Arabidopsis thaliana: one gene and its partner. The protein of the gene in region 1 interacts with the protein of each later gene in a pairwise test. Each region holds a gene or a part of one and is shown on either strand. Other genes may lie near its edges.

Region 1 (8,198 bases):
CAAAATTTCTAGCTCATACATCTTCATTAGCCTTTTGTTTAGAGCAATCCTCTTCTGTCTAAACAGTGAAGATGTGAAGTCATGTGTAGAAACCACCATTATTTAAAGACGAGTCAAAATTTATTGGAAATTTTTCACAAACGAAGCTAAAACTACAAAAAAAGAAAAAAAATCAGACTTACCTCGGCTCTAAAACTTTACCAGTACCATATTCGGGATGGTGAACCACAACCGCGCTGGAATGAACCAAGTTCAATTTTATCGAGTCTTGAAACTCTCGAATGGATACAATATTATGGAACAAAAGAAGAGAAACAAGTAGCTGCATTCATCTTAAGAAACGCAAATTTTTCGAAGAAGCAACTTTCTCATCTAAACCCACCGATCATAACAAGAAATCTAAGATGCTTAAAAAGTTGTCATCATCGCCTATCTGTTCTCGTACTTGTCAGCTTCTATTTCTTTGAAACTATGGTCAATATGTCAAGTAACAATCATCTTTGTTTGGTTGGTGCATGTATGATTTTGAAATCTTAGTTAAGCTATTGGGAGACGTTATCATGTTGAAAACTATTCAAGTCCTGATATTTATCGTATCATAAAATAGTGTGTAAACACATTATTGAAGAATGTAACTAACGGATATATATACACTCAATCTGAAAATAAAGTTCACGCGTCTTTAATTTTCTTTAATCTAAGAAGTCAACATCAAACGAATATTTACATATAATTTACATAGAAGAAGATACTACTTGATATTCTCAATGCAACTAGAATATACATACAACTAGTCAATATAATAAAACCAAACAAGTAGTTATGAAAACTCGATTAAACGAAGACCACAGGCGTTGAATCAGCTACTGGTAGATTAGTAATAAATAAACCTCAAAATTAGTGAAGGAAGCAAAATAAAAGACTATAATTAACAAAAAGTCTTAAAACTTGATTAATAATTAAATGAAAGATTAATAAAATGCTAATTAAGAAAAGGACATAAAGTAAGAGGAAACAAGGAACGAGTTGGGGGGTTAGAAGAGGACGTGGTTGGGTTGTTTTCTTTTGTTTTGTTTCCTTCCACTCTTTCTTCTTCTTCATTTCCTCTTTCTTTCTTCTTCCTTCTCCATTTTTTCTCTAATCGTTGGACAAAAAAGATTGAGCCTTTTTCTGGGTTTTATTTTCTATAAAGGAATCGAAAGAAGCAAGGACAGATTTTAAAAAAAAAATCTTGGGTTTTCAAGAAAAAGTAGAGACATTTTAAAGGTATGATTTTTATGTTTGTTGTGGGCATGTAAATTTCTGGGTTTATCTTTGTCTCATGTATTGTGTTTCTTTATTTGAGAAAATTTATGACAAAGGAAGAAAACAAAAAGCTAGAAATTTGATTCCTTTTTAAGGGTTTTGTTTTCTCTCTTTGATCTTTTACAAGATTCTGGGTTCTTCAGATGTTTTTCTCCTTTTCTGGGTTTAATTCTTTTTGGGTTTTATCCAAATTTATGTAAAAATCTTGACTTTTTCCTCTCCTTTTTCAAAAGATGTTCTTGTCTGAATTTGATTGGTCAAAATCATTTAATTTGGATTATTAATGACAAAATCTACCCATTTAGATTGATACTTGTATAAAAGTTATAACCTTTGAGGGTCTTAGATCTGAAATTTAAAACCAAATTGGTAGATGATAAACAAAATTTCTAGGGTTTCATTGTGTGTTCTTCTTGTTTTGCAGAATCAATAGATTTGTGGGGGTGAAGTAAGGAACATGGAGGAAACAATGGCAGCTAGGTATTGGTGTCACATGTGTTCACAAATGGTGAATCCAGTAATGGAATCTGAGATCAAATGTCCCTTTTGCCAAAGCGGATTCATCGAAGAAATGAGCGGTAATGGCGGTGGAGGTGGTGGCAGAGGCATAAGAGATGTTCAAGATTCAGAAACCGATTTTGGAACAGACCGTGCATTGTCTCTATGGGCACCAATCTTGCTTGGAATGATGAGTAGTCCTCGAAGACGAAGAAGGTTTAGAAGATCAGAGTTTGGTGAAGAGAATGATGATAATGGTGATGACTTGACTACTAATGCTGATGGGAATGGGAATGATAGTAACAACAGTAATAATAACGTGTATCGTCATCATCGAGCTAGGAGACATGGTGGAGAGATTGATTTAGATAGAGAGTTTGAATCTATCTTGAGGAGAAGACGAAGAAGCTCAGGGAATATATTGCAGTTGCTTCAAGGGATTCGTGCAGGGATTGCTTCTGAGTATGAAAGCTCTGATAACAATTGGGATAATTCTCGAGAGAGGGATAGAGTTATAATGATTAATCCGTATAACCAATCGCTAGTTGTTCCTTCGGATCAGAATCAGAATCATCCTTCATTGACTTCACTTGGAGATTACTTCATTGGACCTGGTTTAGATCTTTTGCTTCAGCATTTGGCTGAGAATGATCCTAATAGGCAAGGGACTCCACCTGCTCGTAAAGAAGCTGTTGAAGCTTTACCAACGGTTAAGATAATGGAACCTTTGCAATGTTCTGTTTGTTTGGATGATTTTGAGAAAGGTACGGAAGCTAAAGAGATGCCTTGTAAGCATAAGTTTCATGTTCGGTGTATTGTTCCCTGGCTTGAGCTTCATAGTTCTTGTCCTGTGTGTCGTTTTGAGCTTCCTTCTAGTGCTGATGATGATGATGAGACTAAGACTGATTCCGAGAGAGTGCTGAGAACAAGAAATGTTCGGGAAACGAGTAACGGAAACGTTGTTGAGAATGTGGGAAATGCGGATAGAGGAAGAGAGGATGAGGTGAGGAGTGGAAATGGGAGACGGTTTTCGTTTCCATGGCCGTTTAGTGGATTGTTCTCGTCTTCTTCTTCTTCGTCTTCTTCAACCTCTGGATCTCAATCTGGTGAGAACAATTTCTTCTCAAGATCTTCTGGTTCTTCTCGCTGAGAGCAAAACAATCAAAAACTAAAACATCTTGGATTTTGTTATTGTTCTTCATCTTTTGTTGTTCTCTCATTTTTCTAGCTATTGAACTTGTTATTTCCTCTGCATTTCATTCTCTGCTTTACTGTACATAGAAATGATGTTCTTTCACTCAGACTGTTGAAAAACAAATATCCATTGTTGGTGTACAGAGATGATCAAATTTCAGTTTCCATTGTTTTAGTTTTCAAGTATGAAATTATCTGTCAATCGAGTCCAAATAATGACGAAATATATACAATGATTCAATCTTTCATGTTTTTGTACAGAGATGATCAAATTATGTGTGTCCATTATCTTTGTTTTTAAATATGAAAATTATATTTTCAGATGAATCCCAAATAATGATGGGAATTTTACAAAAATGGAGATAATGATGAGTCTTTGTCGGAATGATTTTTGTATGGGACGATTCATGCGCTGTCTTCTTTTTTGTCTTTCATGTCCCTGTCATTGTAAGATTATAAGAACATGAAACATAAACATATTTTCACCATTGTATTGGCGTATACATAAGAAATACTTGAGAAACAAAAAGAAATCATGATAATTGATACGTGTATGAATGATCCAATAGGTTTCAATACAACCAAAATATCCCAAAAGGAGCTGTTAAGTGGATTCACCGGTCACAGTAGTTGTGGTAATAAGCAAAAAATAGAACTTGAGTTTTCTATCTCAAGATTTTAATCACAATCTTGAATAGTTTCATAATAAAACGTTTAAAGTAGCGTTCCCCAAACGCCAAAAACGTGAATTTTTGAGTGGAATCATCACTTGACGGTCAAGATCTTGATCACGGAAGCATTACCGACTCGGAGTAGAGCAACAACGGAATCTCCAGTCTTGCATAGCTCTTTCTCTTTCCCGTACTGAGTAGCAAACTCGATAGCTTCTTCTGTTGATTCATCGTGTGAGGCTCTTGCGGATCCAGCGTAGAGCACTGGGATCAGACCACGGAAGATAAGGCTGTGTCTCGCGGGGGATTCATCGCTGCAAGACCAGTCAAAGAAGTCGGTTTTGATCTCAGGAACAACGACGGATAGAATAGGCATTCCTGGTCTGTACTTAGCCACAAGTCTTGCTGTGCTTCCTCCTCTGGTTAGGACCATGATGAGAGTGGCTCTAGCTGAGTTAGCAGTTCTGACAGCTGAAGATGCAAGTGACTCGAGTGGACTCATTGGAACTGGAGAGTACAGCATGATCCTCTTGAAGACATCACCGTAGTCAAGGGTGCTCTCGGCTTCCACGCAGATCTTAGCCATTGTACGGACGGCTAGTTCAGGGTATGCTCCAGCTGCAGTTTCACCACTGAGCATGACACAGTCTGTACCATCAAGGACTGCGTTTGCTACATCCGTAGCTTCGGCTCTTGTGGGTCTAGGAGATTTGATCATGGACTCGAGCATCTGAGTTGCTGTGACCACAGGTTTTCCCTGGATGTTGCATTTGTAGATCATCACCTTCTGAGCTAAGAAGATCTTCTCAATCGGGATTTCCATGCCCAGATCTCCTCTAGCAATCATGAAAGCGTCTGAATTGACCAAAATGTCATCAAAATTTGCCACACCTTCTTGGTTCTCGACCTAATCAATCAAAAAGAAGATAGCACAAAACCATCACAACCTAAAGATTTGATCCTGTAGTTTCCGGAACTAAAAAGAGAGCTTTGATTTAACATACCTTAGACATGAGAAGAATGTTTTTGGCGTGCTTTCCTAGAAGTTTCCGGACTTGAACCAAGTCTGAACCTTTCCTGACAAAAGACAGAGCAATCATGTCGATTTGATTCGGGACTCCCCATTGCATGATGTCTTCTTTGTCTTTCTCAGTTAGAGTTGGGAGATCCACAACAACACCTGGGAGATTAACGTTCTTTCTCTCACCGAGCATCGCAGAGTTCTCACACCGGCAACGGACTGTACCGTTCTCTTTGTCACAAGAGAGAACCAGTAAGGAGATTGTACCATCAGCACAAAGAATGACCATTCCTGGGTTCACATCAACAGCCAACTTTTTGTAGCTCATGCAAATCGTGTTCTCGTCACCCTTCAAGTCATAGTCAGTCGAAATAGTGATCTCTTGTCCTTGTTTCAGCTGGATTGGTTTCCCATCTTTCAAGAACCCGGTTCGGATTTCTGGACCCTTTATAACAGAAAAGAAACAACAACACTCCATTAGCAAAATCGAAAACAAACAAACAAATAGATCTGCCACAATTCACATACATAAGACAATTCAAGAACATCAGCTATCACCACTCTCAACAATTATAAGTCTTAGTCATCTATCAAATTTGTATTAACAACAAATTCTTCACCAGTTTCCAAGAGCTAACATCATTTTCTACATTTGGTCTCCACAACAAGAAGATTTCAACTCTTTCTTCTCAACTAATTTGGTCTAACAACTCAGAGTTCTAACTGGAGAAAGTCTCACAGATCTAGATTCATAATTCATAATAAATTTAGTAATTCCCAGATGGTAAAACATCATGAGAGTGAGGTTGGTAAGCGTTGTTCATAAGCAGAGTAAACATTAATAAACAGTCTAACACAAAAATGGCATAAACAGACAAAAAAACAGAAACCATTTACCAAAGATAGATGAAAATACAAAAGAGGCATAAATAAACATTTCACACATAGGAAATAAAATAGACGCGTCAATGTTACAGATCAATAAATAGAATCAAATACCAAAATCCAAACTAAATAAAATATCTAGAAACCCTAGAATTCCAAATCACAGTCGAATCTAAGTCAAAGGAGATGAAATTGGAAACAAAACAACATAAACTATAAAAATGGAAGTCATGTAATCGAACCTTGGTGTCGAGCATGACGGCACAGAGAATCCCAGTGTTAAGCATAGCTTGATGAAGATTATCGAGAGTCTCTTGATGGTATTCATGAGATCCATGAGAGAAATTGAAACGAGCAACGTTCATACCAGCCCTAAGAAGCTTCTCGACCATCGGAACAGATCTGGAAGCTGGACCTAGAGTACAAACGATCTTCGTCTTCGGCCTTTGCTCTATCATCGCCATCGCTAAGTGAAGAAAAAAAACAGACACGGAATTGAGAATCGAGGATCGCGGATGTTTGGTGGAAAGAGAGAGATGAAGAGAGATTTATGGAGAGAGATCTGGCTTGGAGAACAAGGAAAACAGAGAGAGAGAATCTGAGAAAGAATGAGAGATTTATGAGTTAAGAGTCTTCTTCTAGAGTTTTTTTTGACTTTTGAGGTAAAAAATGAGAAATGAAATTGAAGGTTATTGGTTTAGATTTGGTCAACAAAAGACCATATGTTTACTGATTGGTTCACACCGGTTTAATTTTCTTTGAATAATTAAGGAGTGACGCACATTGTTTATTAATATTCGTTTTCGTTTACCTTTTTATGTCTTCTCGATCTATTGTCGGGCCACGTTTTTTTCCAAATATAAAATATCTTATAATGATATCTCATTTAAGTGTTTATGTTGATTAAAAAATGGTATTAATTGTATTTTGGCATTTTGGCAATAGTGTTTAAACTAATTTCTGAAGTTGATCTTTGTTCTTTGTCTTCTTTCATGGTGTTAAGTGTTGAACTGCAGTAATTTATTTCCGGAAATATTGTGTTCTAGTTTGTCTCTATTGGTAATGGAATCTGTAAAAGAAAGCATTAAAACTGAACCAAACCAAACCTACCACTTGTTTAGACATTAAAACCATTTTCTGACCTAAAAGTGAACTTGGAGATGTTTGATAACTGACATATGTACCTTAATATTGACGAGCTCCAACAATCTCGAATAAATTTTAAGACTCCAAAAAAGTTAAAAGGTTTTAGCTCTTCTTCATGTTTTTATATAGAAGAATTGTTCTTTGTGCTTAACCAGAGTTTGAACATTGTCTAAATACTTTTGATATAGAAAATCTCCATTGAACCCAAATGAGGTAAACTTGACTCTATCATTCATTCTCTTCCGGCCCAAAACTTCTCTGTTCTTTTTTTAAGTCCTCTCTTGACGTTTGCGACTGAGCAAGATTACTAGTCTAAACTGACATAAATCTAAGCGCAGTGCGCATATGGTAAGAATTATTTCAGGTGAAAATGATCAGAGTTCGTCGTGATTCTGAGGTTTGTCTTGGTTCATCAACTTCTCGAGCTTCTGTTGTAGTTCCTATACAAAGACAAACACCAGGTTAAGGAAGTGTTAACTAGTGTAGGTCTGTTTTGAGATTTGAGATGACACAAAAACTTACTTTAAGTTTGTCTTCCAAACACCGAGCTGGAGTAGATAAGATGGCCGCATATCTGCAACAAGAGAGTAAAAATTTAAGGATATAAAAAGAAAAACTGGAGATAAAAGGAGATGATGACCCGTGAGATGTAGGTTACGATAAGAACTTACTCGCAACGGCTTGGTTCATCGACATCCATAAGCTCATTTTTCAACCCACATCTTAGTTTCACCTGCATTTAGTGAGACAGTCAAGCTTTGTATATCTCTGTGATCTTTGCAAGCGCAAAAATCTTCTCAGATAATTTTTTTTATATAAATATAATTGGAGAAAATATTAATTGAACAATTAGTTTGGATTTAATGTAATCAGACACTACCTTCAGGCTTCTATCGGGACCATTCCAGCATTTTTCTCCGTTGGTATATGACATGAATTGGTAAGAGTTCTCAAATTTGTCCCACTCCCTATTTTAGCAAATTCCATTAAACAAAATAAGGAAGCGACAAAATAAGCACAGATAAAATAATCACTCATATTTAATTATCATCTGCGAACCAATTCCTTGTTATTAGTTATCTGTATCATGAAAGAGATCAGCATGCACAGAAAAGATAAAGTGGCATGACACTTACCCTAACCGAGTTTTCGAATAGCCCTCCTCTTGTGTTGCTTCTTTATATGCGCAGACTTTGTAAGTATACCTACAGCATTATTTAGGTAATAACAGTAAATGCATCAGATATATAATTCTAATAGCTGATAGTAATGTTAATAAAGAATGGATGTGACATTAAATTGCTAAGATTATTCTTACTTGCCCTGTTTGCTCTCAAAACAACGACCATGGAATGAATAGAACTCTTTCTCTGGTCCTGTTATAAACAATATATAAGGACTAACTTAAAGAAAGGTAAACGTAAGTGAAGGCTTAGGATGTCTTATCATACAGACCAAAGTCTTGTTTTAGCTTCTTT
Region 2 (7,857 bases), on another chromosome or scaffold:
AAAAAATAGAATTTATGCACCAAATCCTTGAGATAATTTACAGGAATTGTGGGATATGCTGTAAAAGCACGAGATAAAATTTGAAAGGAAGGGAACTGAAGTGGAAGAGATTGGGTATCAGTGGACAAAAATGTTTGTCACCTTTATCACTCAGAAAGATAACAACAAATAAATATATATATGGCAAACAAATTTTAATTATTTTGGTTCACATGAAAATATATGATAAATTAGGTGGCGGAATGCGTTTCACAGAGAGTTTATCTCCACAAAGAAAATTTTAATTAAACAGATAAATATAGGGTTCGTCTTTTTCTTCATCATGCATGGGAACCATCGTCATCCATATATATATATATTCGACAGAAAATGAAATATTATAGTTTTCGACCTTCCAAGAATAATATATCTTAAAGATCGTGGAAAAGATTACTCATGAGTCATGACCTACTCTTTTTAAAAACACTTAGTTCATATATATGGTTCTATTATGGCGTTTCTTGAGCTAAATCAAAATGAAGGATTAGAATATGCTCGAAAAGGCGTCAAGAAAATCTTTGGATTTCAGTTGCATACTTGCTTGTAAAAACTAATTGTATTTGTTTTTGTTTTTTGTTCAAAAATTAATTATTTGTTTACCAGCTACAAAAATATATAACATGATTGATAAAGAGTGAATATCTAATAGAATTGATTACAAACATTATTTTGAAACAAATAGAGTGATAGGCATACCTATAATAATTCTGTCCAAAAGAAAAAAGAAAAAGGCATGCCTAAATTTATTACTTTCATAAACAAATAGTAATAATGAAAAGTGATCAAGCCCAAATTGCAAGAGCAGACATCATCCCAGCTCCAAGAAACAAAAAGCAATAAGAAACAACTTGAACTCTGAAATCAACACTCATCTTCTTGCTCAAGAAATCCGCAGCGATCAAATCCACAAGCGCCATGTACACAAGTATCCCCGCAGAGAGAGAATCGAGCACTCCTTCAGCCACCAATGCTGCAACGCTATAAGAGTTGTAAGATGAGGCAATGGCCGTTCCCACCGCTACACCGATCGGAGTAGTGATGGCGAAGAAGAAAGCCATCATGGCAGATCCACGCGGGGTTAGTCTGGCCTCTGCGACGCAGCCACCGAGGGCAAAACCTTCGAAGAATTGGTGGAAGGAAAGAGCGAGAAGGAGAGGACGTATGGTGCATGGGCTATGTGATACTCCAAGCGATATTCCTATGATTATTGAATGTGACACTATTCCCATTTCAAGTATCTGAATACAAAAATATAAGGGTATCATCAATTGATTTTGTGCATCGACACTATACAAGGAAATTATATAAACGGATTGGTTTGACTAAGTCACATAACGTCAAAATATATTAACACACACACACACACCAAAAAAAAAAAATGTTTCCACAATGCGTTTAAGTCGTCATTTGTATCTTTGGAAGAAAACTTAAATAATAGTATGATATTTTAGAATTATCTTATTTTTTCGTTTTCATATTAATAATGTTTTGGTAGAATGAACATGAAGTAGTACTATATATAATAGTTACGAAGATAACATTAAATAATTACTTAAACAAGCAATAAAATAAATTTTATTATTTTTTTCAATAACAAAATCTATATAGTGATTAGCAACTAACTAAACTTGGCATTGTAAAACTTTATAGTTGATTACTATAACAACTCTAAAACAGCTTATGCAAGTCATGTACAGTTATTAGAATTCATCCAATTGACTTGGCTACATTGTATATGAATGAAGTCAACTGCATTTGAAATAAATAAATCTTATTAGCATTAAAGAACTCAAAACTTAAAAGTCAGAGCTTACGAAAAACAAAGTCAAAGTCAAAAAACATATGAAGAAAAGAAAAAGGTCGTTTACCTGAGAAACAACAACGTGCCTCACACCACTGTCCAAGCCTACGTCCCCGTGGCCGTGGCTGTGGCCGTGTCCATGACCGGAAACACCACTTCTCTTAGAGAGAGCCTCAAAACCTTCGGCACCCATGGAGAGGCTATGACGGTGATGCTCCGCGTGAGCCCGCATCCCCACGATATGCAACGCCCCTCCATCTTCTTGATCTCTCAGAAAACCCGATTCAAGACCTGGGTCAGACATAACCGAAACTTGCGTACCAAGCGACTCGACGGACTGGTTCATCATCTTCTCCTGTTTCCTCTCGTAGTATCCCGTGATCATGAAATCCGCGAGCAGAGTAAGAAGCGCCGCGACCATGGCGAAGAATTCTGGAAAAGGGAACATTTTCCATGGAAACTCCGGCAGACATGGGTCGGACAAAGCTTTGGATCCGCCCGAGAGCATGTGAACGAACCCTGTTGCGAGGATAACTCCTGCTGCGAACGCTTTGGCTCCCCTCATTAAGCCACCGTTTAACGGAAGTAGGGTTCCAACTAGAGGAATCGAGACTCCGGCAGCTCCGGAGATAAGGATCGACGCCATAGCTGCGAACTTGAGGGTAAGAGCAGCTGCGTCATCTCGGCACGGGTCTGAGTCGCCCGAGTCACAGCTAGTTGTGAACGACTCTGTTTTGTTACATGCAAAAATAAATTGAGTTAACTTTGCTAAGAAAATCTCAAAATTTGCATTTAAGTGTGTTTAAGAGCGAAATGAAGTAATTGCTTTGAGATTTGAAGTGACAATACCTGTCAAACCAGATGATAATGGTCGAAGAAACTGCCAAAAATCCTGAAAACATTATGAGGCAAAATTATGTGAGGAAACAGGATTGAAGAAGCAAAATAACATTAAATAGATGAAGTGGAAGAAGTTTCAGACCTGTAAGAGAGACATTTACTAAATCCGATTAGGCGATTAAACTTGTAGAATTATATAAATTATTGCCAAGGAAACCAGCAAGCTAAGTATATATGGGTTATTAATATTATGGAGTTGTCTGTGTGTTTTATAAAGAAAGATTGGGAGAATGTCAATCAGTGCGAGGGTTTGTGTGTGCGTGCACGTACGTTAACAAGGTCACATGAGGTTCACGGGAATCAAATGACCATAGAATGTCGTCATTTTCATCTAGTACCCTCATTGACAAGAATATTAAAGTTTGGAAGATAATAACTACGAGAAAACAAATATAGAATTAGAGATGAGATGTATGAGAATGTTTTGTTATAATTGAAGTCTTTGTTCGTATCTTGCATCAGAAGTATGACTCTTGTTTGGTCAACTTGCAGAAAAATGACTATTACAATGCGAAATACTAGTAATGTTTTGCGTCTTAATAAAATTTCATTCAAAAGATTATGTAAGTTAGGTTTGCATTTTACAGTTGATTTTGTTTTTCTCCTATCTCATGATTCTCTGTTTTAATAATTAAAAGTTAAAATTTAGAAAATAGCCACAAACATATTCAAAAAGTATATATTTGGGCCAACCGGCCCAGTAAGGGAAGAATGTTCCTTAAGTTGCCTAAATGAGCGACTGAGAAACTGGCCCACAAAGGCCGGACCTGTATCATTCACAACCGGAAAACTTTAAAACTAATAAACCAACGTTCTTAAAAAAGCGACACTTTGGGCCATAATTTGTTGGGAAGGGAATAAGTAAGAATATGCTTTGGGCATATCTGATGATTTATATCTGTCTCATCTCATCTCTCATCGTTCCGGGAGAAGAGAAGAGAGACCCATCCCTCACTTCAAAGTTCAAAGTCTCGAAGGATCTTCTCCAACTCTCTCTAAACAAGATTCCAAATTTTCAAAGGTAAGCAATCGTTTCTTCTAATGAATTTCATTTCTCCGGTTTTGTAAGTTGAGTGATTTCGTTTTGAAGAAACTCTGAATATGATAGGAAATCAAAATTCACAGAGTTTTCATTCAGTTGGGTTTTCTCTGAATTTCATCAATGTACTTCTTTCTTACATTTACTTTAGTTGATCAAATAAATATCCAGTCTTTGACAATAGCTGATTTTCAGATTCGATAAAAGACTTCAAATTTCGTGTGTTTTGATTCTTCTCTTGTTATGGACGTAGCTGATTTAGGGGGGGGGGTGTGAAGATAAAGTTTCGATTTCTATTCATGTCTTTTTGGATTTTGATTTGAATTTGAAGTTAAACTAGAGAAAATCAGCTGAATCCTTACTTGTTATATGGTATGAAACATCTACTTGATATGTCTTGTTCTGCTGAACCAAATTATGTCTTGAAATCTTAGCTGCTTTTGTTTTTGCAGGTGAATTTGTTTGATAGAATCAAGAACAAACCTTTAAAATGGCGCATCTACTTTCAGCTTCATGCCCTTCAGTTATCTCACTTAGCAGCAGCAGCAGCAAGAATTCAGTTAAGCCGTTTGTTTCAGGGCAGACCTTCTTCAATGCTCAGCTTCTTTCAAGATCTTCTCTCAAAGGACTTCTCTTCCAAGAGAAGAAACCGAGAAAAAGCTGCGTTTTCAGAGCAACTGCTGTACCTATAACCCAACAAGCACCACCCGAAACATCTACCAATAACTCATCCTCTAAACCAAAGCGTGTTATGGTCATTGGTGGAGATGGTTATTGCGGTTGGGCTACTGCTCTCCACTTGTCCAAGAAGAATTACGAAGTTTGCATTGTTGACAACCTTGTAAGACGTCTTTTCGACCACCAGCTTGGACTTGAGTCATTGACTCCTATTGCCTCCATTCATGACCGAATCAGCCGATGGAAGGCTTTGACAGGGAAATCAATTGAGTTGTACGTTGGTGATATCTGTGATTTCGAATTCTTAGCTGAGTCTTTCAAGTCTTTTGAGCCGGATTCAGTTGTCCACTTTGGGGAACAGAGATCCGCTCCTTACTCGATGATTGACCGGTCCAGAGCAGTTTATACACAGCACAACAATGTGATTGGGACTCTCAACGTTCTCTTTGCTATAAAAGAGTTTGGAGAGGAGTGTCATCTTGTAAAACTTGGGACGATGGGTGAGTATGGAACTCCAAATATTGACATCGAGGAAGGTTATATAACCATAACCCACAACGGTAGAACTGACACTTTGCCATACCCCAAGCAAGCTAGCTCCTTTTATCATCTTAGCAAAGTTCATGATTCGCACAACATTGCTTTTACTTGCAAGGCTTGGGGTATTAGAGCCACTGATCTCAACCAAGGAGTTGTTTATGGAGTGAAGACTGATGAGACAGAGATGCATGAGGAACTCCGTAACCGACTGGATTACGATGCTGTGTTTGGTACAGCACTTAACCGGTTCTGTGTGCAAGCTGCTGTTGGTCACCCACTTACAGTTTATGGTAAAGGTGGTCAGGTAAATGACTTTCTTGATCTGTTTTCACATGAAATTTCAATCGAAAAATTTGAGGTTTTGATTGAAGTTTTTCCCTTTGCAGACGAGAGGCTACCTCGATATAAGAGACACGGTTCAATGTGTTGAGATCGCTATAGCAAACCCGGCAAAAGCTGGTGAGTTCCGGGTCTTCAACCAATTTACAGAACAGTTTTCAGTCAATGAACTGGCTTCACTCGTCACTAAAGCGGGTTCAAAGCTTGGGCTAGACGTGAAAAAGATGACGGTGCCTAACCCGAGAGTGGAGGCAGAAGAACATTACTACAACGCAAAGCACACTAAGCTGATGGAACTTGGACTTGAGCCTCACTATCTATCTGACTCACTTCTTGATTCGTTGCTCAACTTTGCTGTTCAGTTTAAAGATCGTGTGGACACGAAACAAATCATGCCTAGTGTTTCCTGGAAGAAGATTGGCGTCAAGACTAAGTCCATGACCACATAAAGTGCAGACCAATATTACACATAAGGAGAGATTATGAAAGAGATGATGTGTTGTTTGGTATCTTCAAACTTCATTTCTGCAAAAGACTTGCTAGGCTTAAGAGGTTTTGTCCATATTACATTGTGCAGGTTCTTTAATGTTAGATCTTAATTTCGATGAAAATGTTATAATGTTGCCTTAAATGTTATGTAATGAGAAAAACTATATTATATGAAAAATAAGAAAATGTTAAATAAGTAACAGAAAACCATCTTTTACTTCAGTTAAGAGAATCTGACGAATATCGATCAATGGTTGCAGAAAAATTTCTTCGAGATCTTAGACGAATAAAACTGTAATTAAATTTCTTCAATAAAATCTGGTTTAAAATTTATATAAGTTACGTAATACTTTTGGTGTATTAAATTTAAAATAATGGAGAGTGGTGTTGGTGGGTCATCGTCGTTGGCTATTTTTAAAAAATATTAATGTCTTTTCCAAATACGAAGGAAACTTGTGGGGTCAAACTCTAAGGAATAGAGTGGGTTTTGTATAATTATAATTGTAGCCCTAATGATTCTCTCGTTTTTTCGTATACTATTTTTCTAAAGAACAATAAACGATTCGATTACTACTATAGTTATAAAAAAAAAGAAACAGCTTACACATATTTTCACTTTCCCCATTTATTTTGTTTGACGAAAACCACATAACCAAAAGTAAGTCGATATCCCAATTGGCCAATTCCCATTTATTTTTTAATTGAAGAAAAATATGCAATATGATTTTATTTTTTTTCCGTCAAAATATGCAATATGATTATATGAATAAACTGCACTCTATCTGGACTCTGTGTTCCGCTTACGTACGTCTATGATTTTTTTTGCGTGCTTTTCTTTGAAACTATCAAATGAATCCTTAGTGGCCGAGCTGCCACCATATCTCAGAGTTACACGTAAAAGCGTATTGGGAAAATTTAATATTCATGTTGTGCGCCTCTTAACACATTTGTATCTACGATTTTGTCTCTGTTGTTTTTGCAGCATATCCGAAAATAGCACCAATGAGGAAAAGTGAGAGAGCTTGCTGTCCAAAAAGTGTATATATTTTTATTCAATTTTTTTAATGCTACTTACAAATGATATTGAAAAATAAAAGAAACTAGATATAAATAATAAAACAAGTGGATGGAATGATCAAATAATTGAACAAACAATTCTCCATAGTTAACACTTAACACTATTCAACTTAACTGAAATTAATAGTTTGAAAGCGTGGAGGCTTTTGGTGTGGAGGCACTGAGAGTTTTCTTTGCATTTTATTGCAAATATTAATATCATTATTTACTAAACATTTGTTGGAGAGATTGTTGGTTATGATTGATGAGCTCATCATCCTCGGCCTCCATCAGTATTCATCAACTTGCGAATTAAAAATATATACAAAATAGCATAACCTTAATTTCGAAGACATGTCACATGATCTCACACAAAATTCTTAATCCCACAAACTACCACCAAGTTGTATATAGGTCGGCAAGTTTTTTTCTTTTTTCAAGTTAATTTCGGATGTATGAACGTATGTGCATACACTTTACAGTATGGTTTTGAAACTTGAATATCAAAAATTTATCTATGGAAATTACTCCTTAGCAAATGATATCTGAGTAACAAAGAATAATAGTATTTTGTAACACGCACAAAAATATGAACTAGTGGAATATATTAAAAACGATGTCTCCGTTACTTCGCCTATACTGAAACTCGTTTGAGTTTTAACAAATTAAAGGTAAAAAATATATTACGCTTCGCACATGCAAAAAATAAAAATGACTGCATCCAGATCATCCGAAGCTCTCTCGGTAAACTAGCACTTTAGTGTGAGATCAGCACCTAACATTTATTTGACATAGGTCAACCTTGACCCTTGAAATGTGGAACTTGGACTTTTGACCTCATTTTCCTCAACCTACTAGAAAAATCGACCGGTATAAAGAAGCTACATATAGCATTCTATTCCAATTACCAACTCGAAAGAAGAAGAAGAAAAAAGAGAAATTCTTGGTCTTTTCTGAATCTTTGAAAAAGAAAATC

The links.
Region 2: the proteins of AT5G56350 (region 1) and SQD1 interact in a two-hybrid assay, tested with the Arabidopsis thaliana proteins (one large-scale study listed by BioGRID).

The regions. Positions count from the first base shown.
Region 1 is NC_003076.8:22,816,492-22,824,689, forward strand, and holds AT5G56350 (Pyruvate kinase family protein), read right to left. Parts: upstream 6,414-8,198; 5' UTR 6,039-6,413; coding exon 5,817-6,038; intron 5,135-5,816; coding exon 4,673-5,134; intron 4,576-4,672; coding exon 3,763-4,575; 3' UTR 3,445-3,762; downstream 1-3,444. Other genes in the region: ATCRT1 (RING/U-box superfamily protein), read left to right, coding at 1,763-2,953; PSL4 (calmodulin-binding protein), read right to left, coding at 7,095-7,160, 7,243-7,294, 7,392-7,453, 7,601-7,688, 7,857-7,925, 8,039-8,096, 8,176-8,198.
Region 2 is NC_003075.7:15,931,782-15,939,638, forward strand, and holds SQD1 (sulfoquinovosyldiacylglycerol 1), read left to right. Parts: upstream 1-3,591; 5' UTR 3,592-3,761; intron 3,762-4,231; 5' UTR 4,232-4,269; coding exon 4,270-5,301; intron 5,302-5,383; coding exon 5,384-5,785; 3' UTR 5,786-6,052; downstream 6,053-7,857. Other genes in the region: ZIP9 (ZIP metal ion transporter family), read right to left, coding at 822-1,277, 1,908-2,569, 2,690-2,732, 2,823-2,837. UniProt on the Arabidopsis thaliana protein: Involved in the biosynthesis of sulfolipids found in thylakoid membranes. Converts UDP-glucose and sulfite to the sulfolipid head group precursor UDP-sulfoquinovose.